6 linked regions of the Callithrix jacchus genome follow. The protein of the gene in region 2 interacts with the protein of the main gene of each other region in a pairwise test. Links are inferred from orthologs where the notes say so. Each region holds a gene or a part of one and is shown on either strand. Other genes may lie near its edges.

Region 1 (3,604 bases), on a different chromosome or scaffold from region 2:
CCAATCTAATACATTTTTGCTTCAGAATAAAAGAGTATTACAAAGCTAAGAAAAAGATGTTCTGGTCTCCTAAGCAGTGAGAGGATGGTTGTAGCAGTTCATCAAGTAAGCTTTGAAAAATATGAGGGTCTCCTAGGTTCTTTACATTGCCTAGTTGTGGAGACGTAGAAGTACTACCATGGGCCGGCCTACCATGTATGTCTGGCCTCTGAAGCACTGGAGAATAGGAAAGTCAAAGTATTCAAGAGTGTACTGGGTTGGGGGAAGCTATAACATCTGTAGTTCACTTTCTTGGAAAGGCAGGAGGGAAAAGACAGAAAGATGGAGGCAGCTGGCTCCATGTCTTTCCCAGCTTTCTTTTCTTCCAATTTTCAAAACTAGTAAAATAGACATAAAATTCACCATCTTAACCAGTTTTAAATGTAAGTTCGGTGTTATTAAAAATGTTCATAATGTTGTGTAACCAACACCACCATCCATCTCCATAACTTCTTCATCTTGTAACACTGAAGCTTTACACCCTTTAAACAGCAACTTCCCATTTCCTCCTCCCGCTAGTAATCACCACTCTACTTTGTCTTTATGATTTTCACTAAGTATCTTATGTAAGTGGAATCTTCTTGTGACTGACTTATTTCACTTAGCATAATGTCATCATAATGTTCACCCATGTTGCATGGGTCAGAATTTCTTTCCTTTTTATGGCTGAATAATATGGCACTGTATGTATATACCACATTTTGCTTATCCATTCATCCCTCACACCTATCCTACTTTTTAAAGCCAAATTTAACCTAAGGGAAAAAAACTAATTTGGGAAGATAGTTGTCCCAAACGTAGAGGTTGCTACGTTATAAATAACCTTTGATAAGAGACCTCGGAGAATCTCATGTAGTTTCTTAATTTGGACCCTAAAACTGTAGTATTATTAATATCTGAGGCACTGCTCAAAATCCATGAGTTACTTCAATGGCAGAGTAACTAATTCCTAATAAGTTCCTCTTAGGTGCCCTCAGAATATTCTAATATAAAGCAAATTCCTGCCTCCTCCCACTCAGAAAACTATACAATAGCAAGAACTCACCACCATGGCAAAGCCTTTCTTGGGGGCTATAATCAAAGTGTTCTCTTTCTCCTCCAGACTCTAGAGCACAAGTTATCTGCATCACTCACTTAGAACTTAATCACAGGTAATTGATTTTTATGTCACTAATTTCTTTTAATGATATTATAAATGATTAAATGTTGTTTCATATTTTTTAGTATATTTTGTCTAATTAGTCTGAATCTTGTGTTTATCCCATAATGGCTTAGCATGGCAAATGAACAGTAAGTATCCATTAATGTGATTCTTCCCTTTGTCTTTTTCGTCTCTAGTCTTAGGGCCTTTTCTAGTCCATCCCTTCTGAGAAAGACAAAGGTAGAGTCAGCACTGTTCCCTCCTACTGGGAGAACCCTCTGACGGGCACCGATTGAGGAAATACAATGATTTACACAATTACTAATTATTTTACCCTCTTCTGAGATACAGAGTGGAGGGACTCCAGCCTATAAAGTAAGTATATTAATCCAGCATTGTCACTCAATCAAAATGTCTATGTATTGTATAGCTCTGTCTGAGCCCTATATAAGAAGGAAAATTTTTATAAATTAAAAAAAATTATATAAAAAGAAATTTTTAAAAAATTAACATCACCACTCCCAATTTTGTTGTCTTGGAATATATTATTCTGCTTTATTAGTTTAACAAATATTAATTGCGCACTCATGCATCAGGAGGATATTGGGGATGTGCCAGAGAACAAATAAGACAAAACACTGTCTTCATGGAGCTTATACATTCTTAACAGATATCTTCTGCATTATTTGTACTTCATGTAATAGGACTTCTGTGGCAAACACTGTCATTGAATCAGGTTTTCAGTAACAGACATATGCTATGTATTATATTAGTTACTAAGAAATCTAAAGTTTAAAGGACAAAGAAGTTAAATGCTACTAATTTCAACTATTTACTTTTCAGCAAACTAGTTAACAAAAACTGAAAAAACCTGAAGCTACGCAATAAACACACAATAGCTCTATAAAGTAAATAAAATGTAGTCTTCCACGAAAAAATAGGATAGGGAAAGATAGAGTTACTATTTGTTCTTGAGAATAAGCAGAGATGAAGATAAGCTCAGTTCTGAGAGACAGAAAATAAAGTGTGAAGAGGGAGAAAATATCCCCAATTATAATGAAATAAAGGATAAGACATTATATCTGAGGAGGAATAAGCGCCAAGAAAATCGTGGCATCGTGATAGCAACAGGAGGCAGATGAAGGTAGAATAGGGAAGGGCCTAGAAGTACAATGTGGATCCACTACAGATTCTCAATAAGGGCATTAGCCCAAAAATTTCTTGTCTGGTAGAACCTTAGAGGAGGTAAAGCTTACAATAATGACAACATCAAATAGACAGTACCTAAAACAGATATGTAAATAGGAAGATTTCCGTTTTAGATAAGCTTTTTCATCTTTACAGTTAACACAAAAGTTAAGCTCTATTTAATTTTCACCCCAAATTAAGTCATATTAATAAAGCACATAGAGTTTAATAGATATTCAAAGCATATAAATAATATTCAACCCCTTACCTTTAGGGATGTCAGCTGATCTGCCCACATTTCTATTATGGGAACAAGATGCTCAAATCCACAATCTTGAACAAGATCTTTATTAAAATTTTGGGATCCCCCTTTGCTCTGTTTATAAATTATTACTGGAGCTCTTGGATTGTGGATAATTGAGTTGATGCTACATAGCACCTTTAAAAAAAAACAGTGTATTTAGTCAAAATATTTATCCTATGCCTGCAAAGTTATATATTTTAATGGTGTGCTTTATATGTCTATATATTACATATATATATTTCATTAAATATACCAAAGAGAATTATCATAAGGAATTGGCTCATGCAATTATGAAGACTGACAAGTCCCAAGATCTGCAGTGAGGAAGAGAATACCCAGGAAAGCTAATGGATATTTGCAGTCTGAACACAGGCAGACTGAGATCCCTGCAAGTGCTGTTTCAGTTTGAGTCTGAAGGCAGAAAAAAAACAGTGTCCCATCTTAAAAGCAGTCAGGCAGGAGGAGTTTCCTCTTACTCAGCCTTTTGTTCTACTCAGGCCTTCAAATGATTGGATGAGGCCCACCCCATTAGGAAAGGCAGTCTGCTTTACTAAGTCTACTGATTCGGATGTCAATCTCATCAAGAAGCACCTTCCCGGACACATCTGAATAACGTTTAACCAAATGTCAGGCACCCTGTGCCCCAGTAAACTTAAAACAAAATTAACTATTACAAACACCCATATAATCACTACCTAGGTTCAACAATTGTTAGTATTTTGCCATGTTTGCTCACTATCTGTATTTCTAGGTGAACCATTTGAAGAAAATGTGGACATCCTAACTCTTCACCCTCAAATAATAAAGTATGCATCTTTTAAAAGTGGGCATATTCTCCTACAAACTCACAAGACCATTATCAGATGATTTAAGGAAATTAACAGTAATCCTCAGGCTGAGTATGGTGGCTCATGCCTGTAATCCCAGCACTT
Region 2 (3,604 bases):
TGTTTGGGCCTGTGTGAGGGAGGCAGGCTCTGTCAGGCTGGTGGGGGATGCTGTGAGGGATGCTGGGGGGTGGGATGGGACTGCTTGAGACTCACCTCGATGGGCGTTACAATGCCCTGCTTCTTGCGGCCCAGGCCACTGCCCTCTTTCCAGCCCATGGCCTGGAGCATGCGACTGCCAATGTTGTCACTGCCCAGCCCGTCCCGAGTAGGCTGCTCGAAGTCTCTGCAGAGGCAGTGCACAGCATGAGTGGTCGGCACGTAGGCCCCAGACCCCAGAGATCCCCTCACCTGGCCCAGCCACTCACACGGAAGCTGTGGATATGCCACCGTACTTTCTCCTCTTGGGCTCTGGTGGCTCGGGGATGCCATACTTCTCTCTGCGTTCAGCTGCACGGTCCCGGTACTTCATTTGCTGAAAATTTGTACGTGTATGTGAATGCTGGGGAGCTGGTTGCTTTTCTCAGGCAACACAGGCATGGGGTTGGGGTCCCACAGGGCACCCCATCTGGCTAATGAGGCTCAGGTCCCAAGGGTCAGGCCATCATGGACACAAGCAGCCAGGGTAGGAGAATGGGGAAGGCTCATGGGGTTAGCATGTGAGAACTTGAACTCCAGCTGCCTGAGGTGATGGGGACTTGGAAGGGACAGAGGGGAGGGGGCCCAGGAGCAGGTCACACCTCACCTCCATGTCATTCTTCTCTAGTGCTTCTAGCTCATTTTCTGACAAGTGGGCTCGCCGGTGAATCTCAAGGTTTTGCTGCAAGGGGGGACAGTGAGAAGTGAAGAGGCTGAGCCTCAGTGGGCCTTGCCCCAGTGTGCCCTGCCAACCCTCTGCTCAGTTACCTTATGGAGCCCCGAGAGCTGCTGGTGCCGGATGAGTGCCTCTTTGCTGGGGAACTGGCGTCGGCAAAGCAGACAGGCCAGCTTCTGCCAGTCAGTGAGCTTCTCTTCCCGCTCAGGGCCCCCGCGCTCCTGCTCTTCCTCGCTGTCACTCTCCCCGCTGTAGGCTGCCACCAGCCCCCTCGGAGGGCTCTGTAGAGGGTAAGAGTGGGCAGTCAGGCCTGGCCAGATCAGAGCCCCCACCCGTCTGCCCTGGGCACTCACTGGGCGGTCGTCGCTGGCCAATTTCGGGAGATCCATGCTGGTGTGCTGTCTCTCGGCTAGTGCACCCTGGGGTGGAGGGACATAGAAATTCAGGGACTCCACAGAGGGCCCAAAGGAAGGACAAGATTGTGAGGCAAAGTGCAGGGGGGTGGCTCCAACACACCTTCTTCTCCAGGATGGCATAGCCGGCATCTGCAGTGGCTGACTCCCGCCTCTCGTCATCTCGCAGGGAGCTGATAGGCTGGAAGCTATTTTTGAAGTTTTCTTTTTGTTTGTTGAGACTGCGTGCCCACCGTTCCATGTCCTTGGCAATCTAGGGGTGAGGGTGGAGGTGAGGTTCCCAGAACCCTCATGCCTCTGGGGCTACTAACTTCTTCTGCTGACCCACTGCCCTGCAGCCTCAAACCTGGGCCGGCTACCATACCTAGTCTGAACCACTGCAAAAGGCTTCATCTGGCCTCCGGGCTATGGCTCCTACCTACCTCTCCAAACAGAGCACTCTTTTACAAAGTATAAGCCATTCCCACCCCCAAATACAATGTCCTTAAAACCCTTCCTCGGCCTCCCATCATACCTAGAATAAACCCAAACTCTCACAGCCTGCAAGGAATTCGGCACCTGGCTACTCCTGACCTCATCACTGAACACACCCCGTACCCCCACCCTCACTGGTCTGCAATGGTGAGGCAGCAGAAGCAGTGTGGGCAGACTGGTGAGCCCATCTAAGAGGGAGATAAGGGGAAGCTGAGGCAGAACAAGCAGAAGGTGAGGAACATGGTAGTGCAAGTTCCTATTTTCTGTCACCAGTGCCTCTTGTCAAGCCCCTCTCTGGCTGTGTTCTCTGCTACAGTTTTGTCCCTCAAAGTTATTGTGTCAGAAATTTAATCCATAATACAGTGTTGACAGGTGGAGCCTTTATCCCAGTGAGATGCAGTGGCTCATGGCTGTAATCCCAACACTTCGGGAGGCCGAGGCGGGTGGATCAGCGGAGGTCAGGGTTCGAGACCAGCCTGGCTAACATAGTGAAGCCCCATTTCTGGTAAAAAAAAAAAATCAGCTGGGCATAGTGGCACATGCCTGTAATCCCAGCTACTCAGGAGGCTGAAGCAGTAAAATCACTTGAACCCAGGAGGCGGAGGTTACAGTAAACTGAGATTGCACCATTGCAGTCCAGCCTGGGCGACAACAGCAAAACTCCATGTCAAAAAAGAAATTTAATCCCTAATGCAACAGTGTTGACAGGTGAGGCCTTTAAGAGGTGATTAGCTTGGCCAGGTACAGTAGCTCACACCTGTAATCCCAGCACTTTGGGAGCTGAGGCAGGTGGATCACAAGGTCAAAAGGTCGACTCTACTAAAAATACAAAAATTAGCTGGGCATAGTGGTGTACACCTGTAGCCCCAGCTACTTGGGAGGTTGAGGCAGGAGGATCGCTTGAACCCAGGAGGCAGGCGTTGTAGTGAGCTGGGGTCACGCCACTGCACTCCAGCCTGGCAACAGAGTGAGATTCCATCTCAAAAAAAAAAAAAAAAAGAGATGAAGGCTCTGCCCTCCTGAAGAAATTACGGCTGTTTTTTTTTTAATTGTATGGATTTATGGGGTAACAAGTGCTTTTGTTACATGCACAGCTTGCATACTGTTGAAGTCAGGGCTTTCAGAGCATCTATCAGCTGAACAATGCACATTGTATCCATTAAGTAATTTCTCATCCTTCACCCCCTCCCACCTCCTCCACCTTTTGAGTCTCCATTTAATGCTATCACTGAGACTGGGTTCCTGATAAAAAGGGGGAGTCTGGCCCAATTTTCTCTTGGTCTCATGCATGCTCTCTTGCTCTTTGCCATGATGTGACGCAGCAAGAGGCCCTCACCCTGCCTACAGAACTGTGAGCCAAATCAATCTCTTTTCCTTATAAATTACCCACAGTCTGTGGTACTGTTATAGAGCAGCAAATGAAGGCATTCCCCTTCCCCTGACACATACCCACACAGTCACATTTGTTGTGCATTTCCATTTTGTCATTTTAAAATGCATAGGAATGTTATATGTGTCTAATTTTAATTTATATGTGTGACACAGTGCCACATTCTATATTTCCATGTTCCCCCCAGCACAGCACCATTTTTAGAATTCACTAGGTTGCTGAGGGAACACTTAGTGCTTGCTTGTAAATGCTACGCTCAGGGTGACACCTTTCTCCACAGAGAGACACTGAGGTGCCCTCATCTGCCCACCTCCCCAAAACACTGCAGGGCCTTTTTCCTGCCCACCCCGTTATGGGCCTGTGAGAATTTCTCTGGCGCATATATACATCCACCAGCAGCATGTGAGGGTCCCCACCATGGGAAAGAAACATGGCAGGGCTCGCTCAGATGGCACAAGCCACCTCCTGGAGTTGGGCAACCCTGCCATGCACTGAGGAGACTGCTGTGGCTCAAGGCCATTCAGCAAAGAGCAGAGCTGGAAGAGGAGCATGGTATGCTAAGCAGTCACTGCCC
Region 3 (3,604 bases), on a different chromosome or scaffold from region 2:
AGCTTTATTCCTTTGTATTTGAGAAGTCTTTTTTAACTTTCCATATATTATTCAAGATGGCTGACCAAATGAACCATCTATACAATCTTTGCTCAATTAAAAATATTTCTTTCTTTCTTCACTGTGCTTGGTTTCGATATTCCAAACAATCAATTTAACGTTATCCTAGCTACTTACAAGCTTATCAAGAATCATACTGAGGTGCTTTTTTGTATCAAATTTACCTGTTTATTCATTCTATAGTGAACAGATTTTGTTTATTCACTATTTAAAACCAAGAAATTTAATCAGATTTTTCTTAGATTTCCTTAAATCACTGAAAAGTAACACCAAAAATACATAAGGTACTAACTGATTAATTACTGACAAAGTGTTCTACCTATGCAATATCCTTAAATTACCATATGTAAATTTAACTGTATTCTTATTTACTCAACGTGTTAAATCTGGATTACAGAACTGAGGAAAATTATGTTTTATGTAAATTATAAAAGGCCAACCAAAGTCAATCATGTCAAATAAAATGAACAATTCTGAAACAGAAGCCAGTAATATACAATGTGAGTATCCCCAGAGAAACCCTGAATATAAAGAAACTTTTAAAGTCACTCACTTTTTTTCAATTAACAATGTTTGAGCATGCTGGTTTTACCTTTTTTAATGCTAATTTTAAACCAATAATTGAAATAAGAAAATATCACTTATCTTTGCAAGTTATCTTTTAGCATGGATTCCTAATTTAAAATACCATTTAAAAAAGTGAGGCAACAAAGGTAAGCATGAACTGGAGTCAGTGGTCTGGGTTGAAATTGGCCCCATGATTTAATACCTGTGACTTCAAGCAAGTTGCTTAATCTCCCACTTCATTATCTCATTTGTGAAACAGAGGTAAATAACTAACCCTGTACTCATAGGGAATACTGAGATTATGCATATAAAGTGCTTACAGTGCCTAGCACATAGTAAGTGCCTGTTAGCCATAATATTATTATGGGTATAGAAAATCAAATTTCCTATCTGAGAAATGTATGCACTAAATGCTGAATATCTAAGAAGTCAAAATTCAACCACACAAGTCTTAGTTATGGAGTCTTTGCATGGATACAAAGTTTTGAAGCTAAAAAATGAGAACCTAGTATTACATGCAAGTTATGTGACTCATCAGTAGATTCTTCCTAGAAAAACAAACTACCATTTGTCAGATTCTTCCCAGCATAAGCCCGAGTCCCCTTGCACCTACAATTAGATTCTTATTTTACTGTCTTTTGAATATGTTGTATTATTCTTATTTTGTTAAGATGTCGAAGAAACCATGGGATTACACACAGCACTATACATTATTATTATAGAATGTCTGGTCCCTCTCATCAGAAATATGGTTTAATAAAGCTATTGAAAAACTTCACAATATCAAGCTGCAATTCTTTTTTCTTTTTATACAAATACAAGTTAATTAGTTGCTCTATTAAGTTGCAATTTTATTTTTATAAAACTTTGTAAAGTTTTGAACATGGAAACCCTAAGAATCACCTAAGCTTTTTACATAAGTAAATTTCAAGTTGACTGTCCATTTTGAACTATTTATAATTAACAGGACACTTAACACAGTAATATCTCAGACAAGAAAGAGGGCGTTAATTCTGCAGGCAGGTAGCAATGAAAATGCCAAACCTGAACAGTCAGTCACTATTTCCTTACATAGTTTGAGTAAAAAATGTAGACTACAGAATGAAAAAAAAGTGAAATGTAACTTCCCCAAATACAACTCTACTTCAGTGAGTCTTGAAGCTTACCCATGACATCAACAAAAATGAATGAACTCAGGGAATTCTTTCTCACCATCAAAGAAAAGAACAGCATGTATAATTTTAAATTAGAAAAAAAATGAATGGCAATTTGCAAGCAAAAGAAAACCAGATTCACATTCTACTATTTACATTTGTTCTATTCACAGGTCAAAATTAAAACACTTCACTAGATTAAAAAAAAAAACACCTTTTAAAAACAAATGTATTTTACTCTATCAATACTGCAAGGAAGATAACTGAATTTAGAAATGCTCTCTATAGCAAAGTTAATTTAACTTTTCGGGGCCCAACTGGCCTATCATTTAGATCTTTAATAGCAGCCATAGCTTCATTATAGTTTATCATAGCAACAATGGCTTCCCCTGTAGGTAAGCCTTGCTCATTATACTGTATTGAAACTGAATCAGGTATGATTCTGTAACCATGGAAAAAGTCTAAAATTTCATTAACATTAGCTTTAAATGGAAGATTCATTATCTTAATAGGAGTTACTCTACCTGAACCACAATTTATCTTTGGATCAGGAATAAATCTCCCCTCAGCAAAACTTCCCATATTATGCTTTCCAAAATCAAACTTGCCACCTTCTGGGCGACCAAAATTCACAAAAGGGCGGTGACTTCTGAAATCATCAGGCGGGCTCCTAAAATCCTCACCAGGAGGTCTAAAATTGTCAGGAAGTCTAGGGTCCTCCTCCAGAGCTTCCCTAAGGTCTTCCTCTGGGAGCTGCCTGAAGTCCTCATCAGAAGGGCATCTAAAATCTTCCTCCTGGGGGTTCCTGAAGTCCTCATCAGGTGGGTGCCTAAAGTCTTCATCGGGAGGGCTCCTGAAGTCTTCATCTGGTGGGTGCCTGAAATCTTCCTCTCGAGAGCGCCTGAAATGCTCCTGAGGCGGACGCCTGAAATGCTCCTGAGGCGGACGCCTGAAATGCTCCTGGGGCGGTCTCCGGAAGTGCTCGGGGGGCGGCCGCCTGAAATGCTCCGGGGGCGGCCGCCGGAAATGCTCCGGGGGTGGCCGCCTGAAATGCTCCGGGGGTGGCCGCCGAAAATGCTCCGGGGGTGGCCGCCGGAAATGCTCCTGAGGTGGCCTCCGGAAATGCTCCTGGGGTGACTGCCTGAAGTCCTCCTCAGGGGAGTGCCTGAAATCCTCCTCTGGGGGCCGCCTGAAGTCATCCTCGGGTGGTCGCCTCCATTCTCCCTGAAGAGGCCGCCTGAAGTCCTCCTCTGGGGGCCGTCTCCAGTCCTCCTCGGATGGCCGCCTGAAATCTTCCTCTGGGAGCCGCCTGAAGTCCTCCTCAGGAGGTTGCCTGAAGTCCTCCTCAGGAAGCTGCCTGAAGTCCTCCGTGGGAGACCGCCTGAAATCCTCCTCCAGTGGCCGCCTCCAATCCTCCTCAAGGGGCCTCCTCCAGTCTTCCTCCCTAGGGTGCCTGAAGTCATCCTCCGGAGGGCGCCTGAAATCTTCCTCCCAAGGGCGCCTGAAGTCCTCCTCAGAAGGCCGTCTGAAGTCCTCTTCCCGAGGTCGCCTGAAGTCCTCTGGGGAACGCCTGAAGTCCTCCGGGGGAAACCTGAAATCCTCTGAGGAGTGTCGGAAGTCTTCTGGAGGGTGCCTGTCAGGCTGCCGGAAATCCCTCTGGGGATGCTTGAAGTTATCCAGTTGCCTCAGGTCCTCCAGCTGATGTCTAAAGCTTTCAAAAGGACCAACTGAGTATATTGGTGGGTCTTTTGAGTCAAATAAATGGGAATGATCACTTCGCTCACGTGACTGTGAACGAGCTTGCATCTTCTCACTGGACATCA
Region 4 (3,604 bases), on a different chromosome or scaffold from region 2:
CTACCTTAGTTTGATGACAGTTTCCTTTACATTCATCTTACTCCCTTTATTCTGACTGTACTCACTAAGCCCCTTTCTGATGTTAATTTAGTTTACCAATTAGGCTCTCCTACTGGGAAGAGAATGCGCTGACCGGCCAACAAGTATACTGGTCTGCTTGGGCAGTTATATTTCTCATTGTAAATTAATAAATTGTGTTCTGGTTTATGAATCAGTCTTTCGTGAGTTTGGTTAGCATGAATTAGGCTCCTAGGGCCCAGTCACCCCAGTTGAAGCAAGTTTCTGAACCTAAGGACCAGACCTTGGATTTTCCTGACCTCATAAAGTGCAGCCACCTTACAAGGCCCTCCCTGAAACAGCCAACCACCTTTATTTTCTTTTGCTGTAAGGGAAATAACAGCAAAGTTTCATCACCAATGTTCTGTTGCTGCTTGGATCCAGGCTCAAAATAGTGTCTTGTATTGATTGCGTGTATCCTCCAGGTAGAAATAAGGCCACTTTGCTCCTGCATAGGAACAGCTGTTCTTTTAACTAGATTGACAGCCTTGATAGATTTGGTGTGAATTCTTACTGCTCCATGTTAGAAAGGACACACTTTTCTTCCTTGACAAGTCATGTTTTCAGGTACCCTCTGTTTTGGAGTCTCTCTGTAATTCACCCCTGGCTTTCCTTAGGTGTGTAACTTTACAGCTGTATTGGGAGTAACATTCCTACTTCTACTCAGCTGCTTTTCATGTTACCTTTCTTTGCTGAAAAGATTGTGGTAACTGAGTGCTGTTTTTCTTCTCTGTCATGTTGATGGACCTAGCCTCTGTTAATTTACTAAGTAAAGCTGGTGAGCTTCCTCTGCATAAAAGCGGTTGCCTCTTTTGGGACTTACAGCCATAGATACAAAATAGAACCCTTGCAAATGTGAAAACGGTAGTAGCTGGGAAGGTGTTTAGCTGTCAGATTACACTTGCCTAATACCTTTTTGTTCTTCAGTTTAAGAGAACTCTAGGAAAGAGCCATTTGCGGCCGGGTGCAGTGGCTCACGCCTGTAATCCCAGCACTTTGGGAGGCCAAGGCAGGCGGATCACGAGGTCAAAAGATCGAGACCAACCTAGCCAACATGGTGAAACCCCGTCTCTACTAAAAAATACAAAAATTAGCTGGGCGTGGTGGCATACACCTGTAGTCCCAGCTACTCTGGAGACTGAGGCAGGAGAATGGCTTGAACCCAGGAGGCGGAGATTGCAGTGAGCCGAGATTGTGCCATTCCACTCCAGCCTGGCGACAGAGCAAGACTCTGTCTCCAAAAAAAAAAAAAAGAGCCATTTGCCATGTGTTTGAGACATGAAGAACAAGACAGCACTGGCATTGTTCTGTAATACAAAAATCTAGGTGGTTGTCAACATAATTGATTCCACCTTAGGCTTTACTCAGGAATTGGGGTTAACTGTCATGTTCTAATTTAAGGAGCACTCTTTCCTTCCACACCTGATGCCAGTGGCATCTTTCTATCTCCAAGACCCCTACAGAGCCCATGTGATCCTGTTCTTCTGTTGGATTCCCCATTAACCAGGCTTAGACTATTAAACTGGAGAGGAGCAAGTTTAGCCAAGTGACATGACAGTGTCAGAAGCCATGCTTCCAGCTGTTTAAAACACGGTCTGAGCTCCTGCACTGTGCACATCACCATGAGGTGATGGTGTTTCTAGTAGGCTGCCCTGAGTTGTAGAAGATTTTGGCCATTGAAATGTAACGGGAGTTCCCCAGATTTGAGACTTGTTTTGTAGCAAGCTTTTGCTAAACATCCTTACTGTCAGCTATGTGCCATCTGTTCATTCTGTGGGCAGATCTTTTGTTGGCTTATCTCCCAAGTTTCTCTTAACCTCCAATTGTCTACTTTTCATGTGTGTGTCTTTCTCACCCTGATTACTCATTTTAGTATGTAAATATAAGTGCTATTCAGTTCCTGCCACTCCTTCTCTTCCCCTAAATTCCCTATTCAATGCCCCTTGGCAAAGAGAACATTTTAAGTGTGCAGCAGGAAGAGGTTAACTAGTATTAGTCTAAGGAGAGAGATCCTTAACTCTTCAGGAGATATGGGGTTTCAAGTCAACTGCAATTTACCTGAACATCAGTGAACACTGTCATTTCCTTGTGGGCCGTTAGGATCCTACATTTAAAAATAGAACACATATGTAAGGATGAATTAAATGTGTTCTGAAGTACTTTTGGAGTTCTGGATGAAAAACATTCTTTGACAGGATTTAGGACAATATTGTATTTTGGATATATATCTTCACTGATTTGCTTCTGACCTCTGAAGCCAAAGAAAAGGCAGTAGATGATTTTACCTTGTTTCTCAGACACTTTAGTCAGCTTCCTCTGTATGGTGTCTGATAACTCCTGCAGGATGAGCTGGTCCTATGGGTTTGTATAAAGCCTGGGCAGTAACGTTAGTTCTGTTTTGCTTCATAGGAATACCTCCACGGGCCCATTCTCGAGATTCTAGTGATTCTGCTGATGGACGGGCCACACCCTCTGAGAACCTAGTACCCTCATCTGCTCGTGTGGATAAGCCCCCCAGTGTGCTGCCCTACTTCAATCGTCCTCCTTCAGCCCTTCCCCTGATGGGTCTGCCTCCACCACCAATTCCACCCCCACCACCTCTCTCCTCAAGCTTTGGGGTCCCTCCTCCTCCTCCTGGTATCCACTACCAGCATCTCATGCCCCCACCTCCTCGATTACCTCCTCATCTTGCTGTACCTCCCCCTGGGGCCATCCCACCTGCCCTTCACCTCAATCCAGCCTTCTTCCCCCCACCAAACGCTACAGTGGGGCCTCCACCAGATACTTACATGAAGGCCTCTGCCCCCTATAACCACCATGGCAGGTAAGGACTATCTTGTTCCTTTCAGATCTGAGCCAGGGTAAATAAATGTATTAAGCATTTTATTCTCCCTGAGAAAGTGAGCACTGATTGCTTGCTCTTTCCCTTATGGACACACTGTTGTCATAGCATTGATTCCTGGGAAATAGTTTACTGTCTGTTTGTTAGTGTTTTTATTTCATGTTTGTATTGCATGTTAACCACTTGACGCAAACCATGTCCCTCATATCCCCCTTTAAGGTGCTTAATTAAATTAAATGCTTCAGGCAGCTGCTATGAATGCTACAGATGACTAACATTGTTCTATATTATGCCAGAATTACAAAAGTATTGTAGAATACCATAACAGTAACGAGGTGTGAGCAATCAAGGATGGTATTCTCTTTGTACAGCCGAGATTCGGGTCCTCCACCCTCTACAGTGAGTGAAGCTGAATTTGAAGATATCATGAAGCGAAACAGAGCAATTTCCAGCAGTGCCATTTCCAAAGCGGTATCTGGAGCCAGTGCAGGTAATTCGTGCTTACCTTTGCTGCCTTTTCCTTAACCTTTAGTTTTTTTCCTTATTTTGTCATTCCAACTGGCAGAAGTTCAACAAGATAAAGTTGGAGTGCTGTAGATATCAAGGTGGCACACTTGGAAAAGCAATATATAACCTGCTTTCTTGGCCTTGAGGAAGCTCCTGTGTCTAGGCCTGCCCTCATGAAAACCAACTTAATGCCTAGAA
Region 5 (3,638 bases), on a different chromosome or scaffold from region 2:
TCCAAGTACATCTGTTCTCACTTTAAAATAATCCAGCTGGGCAAGGTGGCTCACACCCATAATCCCAGCACTTTGGGAGGCTAAGGCAGAGGGATTGCTTGAGCCCAGGAGTTGAAGACCAGCCTAGCCAACATGGCGAAACTTCATCTGTACAAATACAAAAATTAGCTGGGTGGCACATGCCTGTGGTCCCAGCTACTTGGGAGGCTGAGATGAGAGGATCACCTGAGCCTGAGAGGTAAGGCCACAGTGAGCTCTGATCGCACCTGTACACTCCAACCTTGGTGACAGAGACTCGGTCTCAAAAAAAAAACAAAAAAAAATGTGGAGTAAGCACCCTTGCTCCTACTCCTCCTTACCATTCTTTTCATGATACTCTGACAGCTTTTCTGACATTTTTATACTCCAGGTGGAGTACAGTGGCCCGATCTCAACTCACTGCAACCTCTGCTTCCCGGGTTCAAGCAATCCTCCTGCCTCAGCCTCCAAAGTAGCTGGGACTACAGGCCTGTGCCACACTTGGCTAATGACATCTCTTCTTAAAGAGAAAAGGTACTGCTGTCAAGGCAAACACCACAACTACACAAGGAGTTTAGTTTTATTTTCTCTGTGCATCTGCAAAATACTCAGAACCAACATAAAAAAGTAATACCTCCTGTGGAAAGTTACATTACAAAGGGGAATGGGGTGGGGTGCTCAAAGAGGTTAGTGCCTCAGCCCCAAGGAGCTACAGCATCTCTGATTGGTCCAAGGAATCGAAAAGATATTGGGAAGATGTAACAGGAGGAAGGAAAATGTGAATTTACTGAGGGAGAGGGCCCCGAAGCGGGCCTCGAGGGGGAACTGGTGGCCGGGGAGTGGGTCTGGGTGGAGGGAGAGGCCCCCGCTGGTAGCCATAGGGTGGGGGTCGTGGAGGGCCAGTGTATCCATGGGGGGGCATCAGTGGAGGAGGTCCACGCATACCATGTGGAGGCATAGGACCTGGGTGACCTGCAAGAAGTGAAAGAAAAGTTAGTAAGGGCCTGGGACAGGGGTGTACCTACAGGAAGTTGTTAGAACATGTTAGGTGCAGGTGAAGGAGGTGGCTAGAGCCGACTTACCCATGGGAGATCCGAATGGAGGCCCTCGGGGGGGCATGCCCATTGGAGGAGGTCCAGGATGAGGCATTCCAGGTGGTGGTCGGGGCGGTGGCTGCCCCCCAGAGCCTGGGGGTCCAGCATGGGGATGTCCCAAGCCATGAGGGCCATGGTGTGCCAGCTGCATCTGAGTCATCCCTATGAAAATAAAACAGACACAAAAAGAAAAGAGACAAAGATAGAGAAGAGGGCAAAGAAAATGGAGAAAGGAAGAGAACAAAATTAGAAAGAAAGTGACATCAGAAAGAGGACTATATAGAAAACAGGATCCAGAAAATAAGGCTGGCTGGGCAGTGGCTCATGCCAATAATCCCAGCACTTTGGGAGGCCTAGGTGAGAACATCACTTGAGCCCAGGAGTTTGAGGTCAGCCTGAGCAACATTGTAACACCCCGTATCTGTCAAAAAAATTTTTTTTAATTAGCGAGGCATGGTGGTGAGTGCCTATAGTCCCAGCTACTCATGAGGATGAGGTGGGAGGATCACTTGGGCCTCGGAGGCCAAGGCTACAGTGAGCCATGACTATGCCACTGCACTCCAGCCTGGTTGACAGAGTGAGACCCTGTCACCAAAAAAAATAACAACAACAACAAAAAAAAACAGCCAGGTGCAGTGGCTCATGCCTGTAATCCCAGCACTTTGGGAGGCCAAGGCAGGCAGATCACAAGGTCACGAGTTCAAGACCAGCCTGGCCAACATGGTGAAATCCCGTCTCTACTACAAATACAAAAATTAGCTAGGCATGGTGGTGCATGCCTGTAATCCCAGCTGCTCAGGAAGCTGAGGCAGGAGAACTGCTTGAACCAGGACCAGGGAGGCAAAGGTTGCAGTGAGCCGAGATCAGGCCATTGCACTCCAGCCTGGGCTACAGAGTGAGACTCCGTCTCAAAAAAAAAAAAAAGGAAGGAAGGAGGGAAGGAGGGAGGGAGGGAAGGAAGGGTAGTAAAAAGTGCGCCCTATCCTTGACCCCATTCCAACAGCACAAACCAATCAATCACTCAAGACCTTACCGTCTTTGCTTGCTTCTTCCGTGACTTAGGCACTGTAATGGTAATGCTGAAGTACATAACAAGCAGAGTGATAACTCTGTTGATAGGATTTGAGAAAGTAGCAGAGGACATACTGTCTAAGCAAAGATCTGATTCTAAAGCACGAATATTTCAGGAGGATAAGATCGTGGAAAGAGAGCACCCAAGCAGAAAGCCTACCATGCACAAATTGGGCCAGGCGCGGTGGCCCAAGCCTGGAATCCCAGCACTTTGGGAGGCCGAGGTGAGTGGATCACGAGGTCAAGAGATCAAGACCATCCTGGTCAACATGGTGAAACCCCACCTCTACTAAAAATACAAAAAAAATAAAAAATAAAAAAAAAAATAACTGGGCATGGTGGCACGCGCCTGTAATCCCAGCTACTCAGGGGCTGAGGCAGAAGAATTGCCTGAACCCAGGAGGCGGAGGTTGCGGTGAGCCGAGATTGCACCATTGCACTCCAGCCTGGGTAACAAGAGCGAAACTCCGTCTCAAAAAAAAAAAAAAAAAAAAAAAAAAAAAATCACAGGTGTCTCCAACAGCACAGTATGTTCCAGGATATGCCAGTAACTCAGTATCAGGAGCAAAATGCAGTTATGGAAATGAGGGGCAGGGGCCAAACCATAAAGAGCTGTGAATGCTATGGTAATGAGTTTGGGTTTTACTCTGTAGGTAAAAGGGAGCAAAAGAGGAATTCTGAGCATGCATGTGCACATCTGTGTTTTACAAAACTTACTCTGTGAAAGTAGATCAAAGTTAGTGAAAACTGGAGTCAAAGTGGCCGGATATTACTACAGTAAATTAAGTGTAAAATGAAGGAATGAGACTCAACTGGGGCACTGGCCATGGGGAGAGATGCCACTGACATAAATAAGACTCAGTATTAAGAGTGGGGTAAAGGCCGGGCACGGTGGCTCAAGCCTGTAATCCCAGCACTTTGGGAGGCCGAGGCGGGTGGATCACGAGGTCAAGAGATCGAGACCATCCTGGTCAACATGGTGAAACCCCGTCTCTACTACAAATACAAAAAATTAGCTGGGCATGGTGGCGTGTGCCTGTAATCCCAGCTACTCAGGAGGCTGAGGCAGGAGAATTGCCTAAACCCAGGAATTGGAGGTTGCAGTGAGCCGAGATCGCGCCATTGCACTCCAGCCTGGGTAGCGAAACTCCGTCTCAAAAAAAAAAGAGTGAGGTAATACTCCCCACAGTCACAGCAAACATAGCTCTCAGATTCATGAATTAAGCACCTGGAAAAAACGAATACTAGAGGAAGAATAGGTTTGAGGGAGAGGGATAGAAAGGTGGCACTATCTATTAAGCAGCAGCATTAAGGATCTGGAATGTTAACAGCTATGAACTAGAGACACAGATCTAGGAGGCATAAAACTACACATATATGCAGAAAAGAAAAGCACAAAAATCTACGCCCAAGTCCACAGAAGTCTATTGTGGTAGCTAAGATTAAGGAGTCAGA
Region 6 (4,185 bases), on a different chromosome or scaffold from region 2:
GGGGGCAGTGAGCCAAGATTATTTCACTTGAATATAAGTGAATATAAGATATATTTGATATATTTGATAAATATAAGATATATTTGAGCCATACCCTGTCTCAAAAAGAAAAAAATAATCTGTCTTCTTATTTTTTACCAGTAATTTTCTGTGTGCTGCACAGAAAGACAAAGATTGCACATTTGTATCTATGTACTGGGAAAAAGAGGCTTCTATTCTAGTTCTTTTAGCATCAGTCTGACAAATATGAATAGGTTAAATTTGAATTAAATTAAAGGCAGGTAATGATGAGAGAAAAGTATTTTCTAATCAACTGGGATGTCCATCAGGCTCAGGTAAAGGAGGAAAGTGAGAGTTTACATTTATTAGTTTTACTCTTCCAAGTTAAGGATCTGGTAAACTGGGGGGATTAGGAGAAAAAAAAAAACAAAGAGAAGAACATTGTGAATTTATGTTCTACAGTTTCTCTTCCATGTTCAGTATGCTAGAGCTTCACTCTGCTATTAAGAGATCTTTATGAGTCCCTTTTCTTTGTACAACATAGCTCTCTCTACTGCCACTATGTAGAAGCTGGGAGAAGTGTTACCACTAAAATATCTCAGCTGGAAATGGCCTCTATAGGTATAAACTATGGTAGCATTAGCTGGTAAAATTCAGTACGCAGGGCCTCCTGTCTCAAGGACAATAAATTTACAGCTGTTTGTGAGCTTCTCTGTTAAGATCTTTCCCATCTTCTCCCAACACCTGCTCTTTTAGATAAGGGATAAGGTTCAGGTTAGCCCTTCTTTTGATTCAATTCACATCTGTTTTAACATCTAGTAGAAACACAGTGTTTTTTTGTTTGTTTTTGTTTTTTGAGACAGTCTCCCTCTGTCACCCAAGCTGGAGTGCAGCGCGAGATCTCAGCTCACTGCAACCTCCATATCCTGGGTTCAAGTGATTCCCCTGCCTCAGGCGTGCACCACCGCTCCCAGCTAATTTTTGTATTTTTAGTAGAGACAGGGTTTTGCCATGTTGGCCAGGCTGGTCTCGAACTCCTGACCTCAGGTGATCCGCCCACCTTGGCCTCCCAAAGTGCTGGGATTACAGGCGTGAACCACCACGCCTGGCCAAAAACACAGTTACTTCTGACTTGTGAATACCATCCTTAACTAGTTTCCAGTGCTGATGAAACATTTTCCATTTTATGATTCCTTCTGCCACGCCATCAGAAATGTGGGCTGGGGAGCTGTGCATGTAATCCTATTACCATCACCTGACCTATTCCTACATTTTTAAAGTACATGTTTACAGAAATTCCAATTAAATCAAGAGATAATATTGGGACATCCTGAACATGTTCTATCCACTTCGAGGGGGTAACATCATTACTCTGGAGACCTCCCTATATTCTACACACTCTTATTTCTATAGGGTCCATCTCACATGATAGCAAACATTTAAAAAATGCATGGAAACTCCTCTAGTAAACATAGATGGCCCCACACCAAAACATATAAATAAATTTAAAGACTATTTAACATTTTGCTTTTGTAATTACTTACCTAATTATAAAAGATAATTAGCTAATTACCTATGGCTAACTTGTATAGTTTACCCCTGGATCTGATTTCTTAGCTATCATCCGCGTATAGTCATGAGGAAATCTTGCAAAGAAAACTTAACATAAATGTAATTAAAATTCAGATGAATGAAAATATTATGTCACATTTTACAAGCGTTTGATAGTAATTTCAACTTTGCACGTTTTTCCCATTTTCAAGAGAATATTTTTGATCCTAGCACTCTTAACTGCGCTATCTACTGGATAAAACAGCTCTGAAAGCTGTGGTGAGTTTCCTCCGCAAGGGCTTCCTCTATGCACACGTAATGCCATAATAAATAAAGGTCAGTGTGAGCCATTTTATTATGATCCATGTTGTAACTGTCCATATTATCAATATTGTGGGCTGAAAAGAACGATTTATCTTGGCAGTACCTGAAGCTTTCTCCAAAACTTAGGGTCCTTAAAGCTTAGTTCTTAGAGATTGGGGGCAAAAATTCTCCCTGATTTCCCAGGCAAAAAATCAACCCTTAATTGCTACGATGCTGGCTTCCCATCCACCGTAAGGGCGAAAAAGGTAGTAATTTCTTCGTTTAAAGGCCTTTGTTTCTATTTCAAATTCACCCCTAAGACGTTATTCCACCTGGCTGGTCTGTGACCCTGGTGCTGGCAAAATCCGCGCCACCCGGGGCATTGCCCGCGGGCTCCGCAGTCGTCAACCCAGGCCGCGAGCGAAGCCTGCACCCAGGGCCTGCTTCAGGAGCGCAAGAAACGGCCTTCACGGCGACGCGCGCCGAGAACGCGCAGCCGGGCGGCGGTTCCCCACGGGACGCGGCGGGAAACGCCCCGCGCGGCCGGCCCCAGACCCCGCCCGCCCCTCGCGCGGACACGCGCCTGGCTCCGCCCCCGGCCCCGCCGGCCGCGCGCCCCCACCCCGGCTGGGACCGGCCCCACGAGGTGCGCAGGGTCCTCACTTGTGGAAAGAAACGGGCTTATCCTTGTCGTAGCGGTTCTTGCAGCCGTAGGCGGAACAGGACTGCACCATCCTTCCGGTGGTCCTCAGGCACTTCACTTCTGCCGCCGCAGAAGGCAGGGGAAGCTGCTTTCAGTGTCGCCGCGCTCGGTTGGACACCCTCGTTTCTTTTGTAGCTTTGGCCAACAGTTACAGTGATGGTGGCCTCCCTCGGGAGTGACTAGTGTGCCCGTTTTGTTGTTTGCATTAGCAGAAGGACCACAGCCATCGCCCTTCTCCCATCTCCAAGATGGCGGAGGCAGCTTCAACCTCACCTATCGCGAGGGGTGCGTCCCACTGTCTCTGATTACTCTGAGGTCAGAGGTAACCTTTCCTTGGGAAGCTGACTATTGGCTGAGGCCAGGTGTTTCCGGTGGTGGCTTCGGAATTGCGGAAGTGGGCGGAGCCCTGAGCTTCTGGCCGGAAGGAAGGAACTGCTTGGAGGAGGAGGTGCGGCGGGAGGGCGGATTCCAGGGGCCACCTCAAACCCCGGGCTGTTCCGGCGGATTAATTGATCTGGAGCTTTCCTGGGGCGGCTTAGAGTAGGAAACTACTGGGGCCTCTTGGAGAACAGGTGTAAAGCCGAGGTCGTTGTCTGATTCCTCCCATTTGTTTAAAAGGGCAGGCACAGATCGTGTATAATTAATAAAATTGTGGAACCTTTTCCCAGAATGCTGATCTTTATCCCATTGCCTGCCTCTTCAGGTATCACAAAGCTCTGTGAGAGCAATGTGACAGGTTTTTAGGAATGAAGAAAGACACACTCACCAAATAATCTCAGTTGCCAAACGCAGAAGCATTATAATATGTATGTATGTATATGTATGTGTGTATATATATGTATGCGTGTGTACACATATATATATATAATTAAAAAATGGAGACGGTGTCTCCCCACGTTGCCTAGGCCGGTCTAGAACTCAAGCCCAAGGGATCCGGCCTCCTAGTGGCCTGGGATTACTGGAGTGAACCACCAGGCCCTCTCCAGAAGCTTTTATGAAGGGATGTCCATTGCTGTGATTTCCAGGTGCTGCAGCAACTTTTCACATCTGAGAGAGACTATGTCAGAGGGGTTATAAACTGGAGCCACTCTGTGTTGAGTGAGGGCTAGGAAGATGAGGCTGAGACTTGCTAGGCTGCATTCCCAGAAAGTTAGGTATTCCTAGTCTCTAGATGTTTACAGTTAAGGCAACAGATTGATAATATTTACTAAACAGACCCAGACTTCCAAGTGTCCAGATATCCTGATATTTTGAGAACAGAAGCATTCCTAATTTTGCTTTATTGGGCAGGGCGCAGTAGCTCAGGCCTGTAATCCCAGCACTTTGGGAGGCCGAGGTGGGCGGATCACCTGAGGTCAGGAGTTCGAAACCAGCTTGGCTAACATGGTGAAACCCTTCTTTTCTAAAAATGCAACAGTTAGCCAGATGTGGTGGCACATGCCTCAAATCCCAGCTACTCTGGAGGCTAAGGCAGGAGAATCACTTGATCCTGTGGAGGTTGCAGTGAGCCATGTTTATGCCACTGCACCCCAGCCTGGGTGACAGAGTGAGACTGTCTCATAAAGATGATATTGATTCTTACATAATATAGTAATTAATCATTTATCACAAACCCTTGCAACAGAGCA

What was found.
Region 1: the proteins of RBM10 (region 2) and CEP70 interact in binary tests that used the Homo sapiens proteins (3 or more experiments, as listed by UniProt). The two-hybrid records come from large-scale screens. The link is inferred for Callithrix jacchus from reciprocal best matches to the Homo sapiens genes RBM10 and CEP70.
Region 3: the proteins of RBM10 (region 2) and RBM12B interact in a two-hybrid assay, tested with the Homo sapiens proteins (3 studies listed by BioGRID). The link is inferred for Callithrix jacchus from reciprocal best matches to the Homo sapiens genes RBM10 and RBM12B.
Region 4: the proteins of RBM10 (region 2) and CPSF7 interact in binary tests that used the Homo sapiens proteins (3 or more experiments, as listed by UniProt). The two-hybrid records come from large-scale screens. The link is inferred for Callithrix jacchus from reciprocal best matches to the Homo sapiens genes RBM10 and CPSF7.
Region 5: the proteins of RBM10 (region 2) and SF3B4 interact in binary tests that used the Homo sapiens proteins (3 or more experiments, as listed by UniProt). The link is inferred for Callithrix jacchus from reciprocal best matches to the Homo sapiens genes RBM10 and SF3B4.
Region 6: the proteins of RBM10 (region 2) and THAP1 interact in binary tests that used the Homo sapiens proteins (3 or more experiments, as listed by UniProt). The two-hybrid records come from large-scale screens. The link is inferred for Callithrix jacchus from reciprocal best matches to the Homo sapiens genes RBM10 and THAP1.

The regions. Positions count from the first base shown.
Region 1 is NC_133518.1:45,826,186-45,829,789, reverse strand, and holds part of CEP70 (centrosomal protein of 70 kDa), read right to left. Parts: intron 2,808-3,604; coding exon 2,637-2,807; intron 1-2,636.
Region 2 is NC_133524.1:48,143,182-48,146,785, reverse strand, and holds part of RBM10 (RNA-binding protein 10), read right to left. Parts: intron 1,420-3,604; coding exon 1,270-1,419; intron 1,173-1,269; coding exon 1,107-1,172; intron 1,035-1,106; coding exon 846-1,034; intron 760-845; coding exon 685-759; intron 415-684; coding exon 308-414; intron 226-307; coding exon 96-225; intron 10-95; coding exon 1-9. UniProt on the Homo sapiens protein: Binds to ssRNA containing the consensus sequence 5'-AGGUAA-3'. May be involved in post-transcriptional processing, most probably in mRNA splicing. Binds to RNA homopolymers, with a preference for poly(G) and poly(U) and little for poly(A).
Region 3 is NC_133517.1:33,452,942-33,456,545, reverse strand, and holds part of RBM12B (RNA-binding protein 12B), read right to left. Parts: coding exon 2,064-3,604; 3' UTR 1-2,063.
Region 4 is NC_133511.1:118,415,437-118,419,040, reverse strand, and holds part of CPSF7 (cleavage and polyadenylation specificity factor subunit 7), read left to right. Parts: intron 1-2,466; coding exon 2,467-2,881; intron 2,882-3,270; coding exon 3,271-3,389; intron 3,390-3,604.
Region 5 is NC_133519.1:9,855,915-9,859,552, forward strand, and holds the end of SF3B4 (splicing factor 3B subunit 4), read right to left. Parts: intron 1,275-3,638; coding exon 1,101-1,274; intron 991-1,100; coding exon 803-990; 3' UTR 581-802; downstream 1-580. UniProt on the Homo sapiens protein: Component of the 17S U2 SnRNP complex of the spliceosome, a large ribonucleoprotein complex that removes introns from transcribed pre-mRNAs.
Region 6 is NC_133514.1:44,607,829-44,612,013, forward strand, and holds the start of THAP1 (THAP domain-containing protein 1), read right to left. Parts: upstream 2,858-4,185; 5' UTR 2,589-2,857; coding exon 2,518-2,588; intron 1-2,517. UniProt on the Homo sapiens protein: DNA-binding transcription regulator that regulates endothelial cell proliferation and G1/S cell-cycle progression.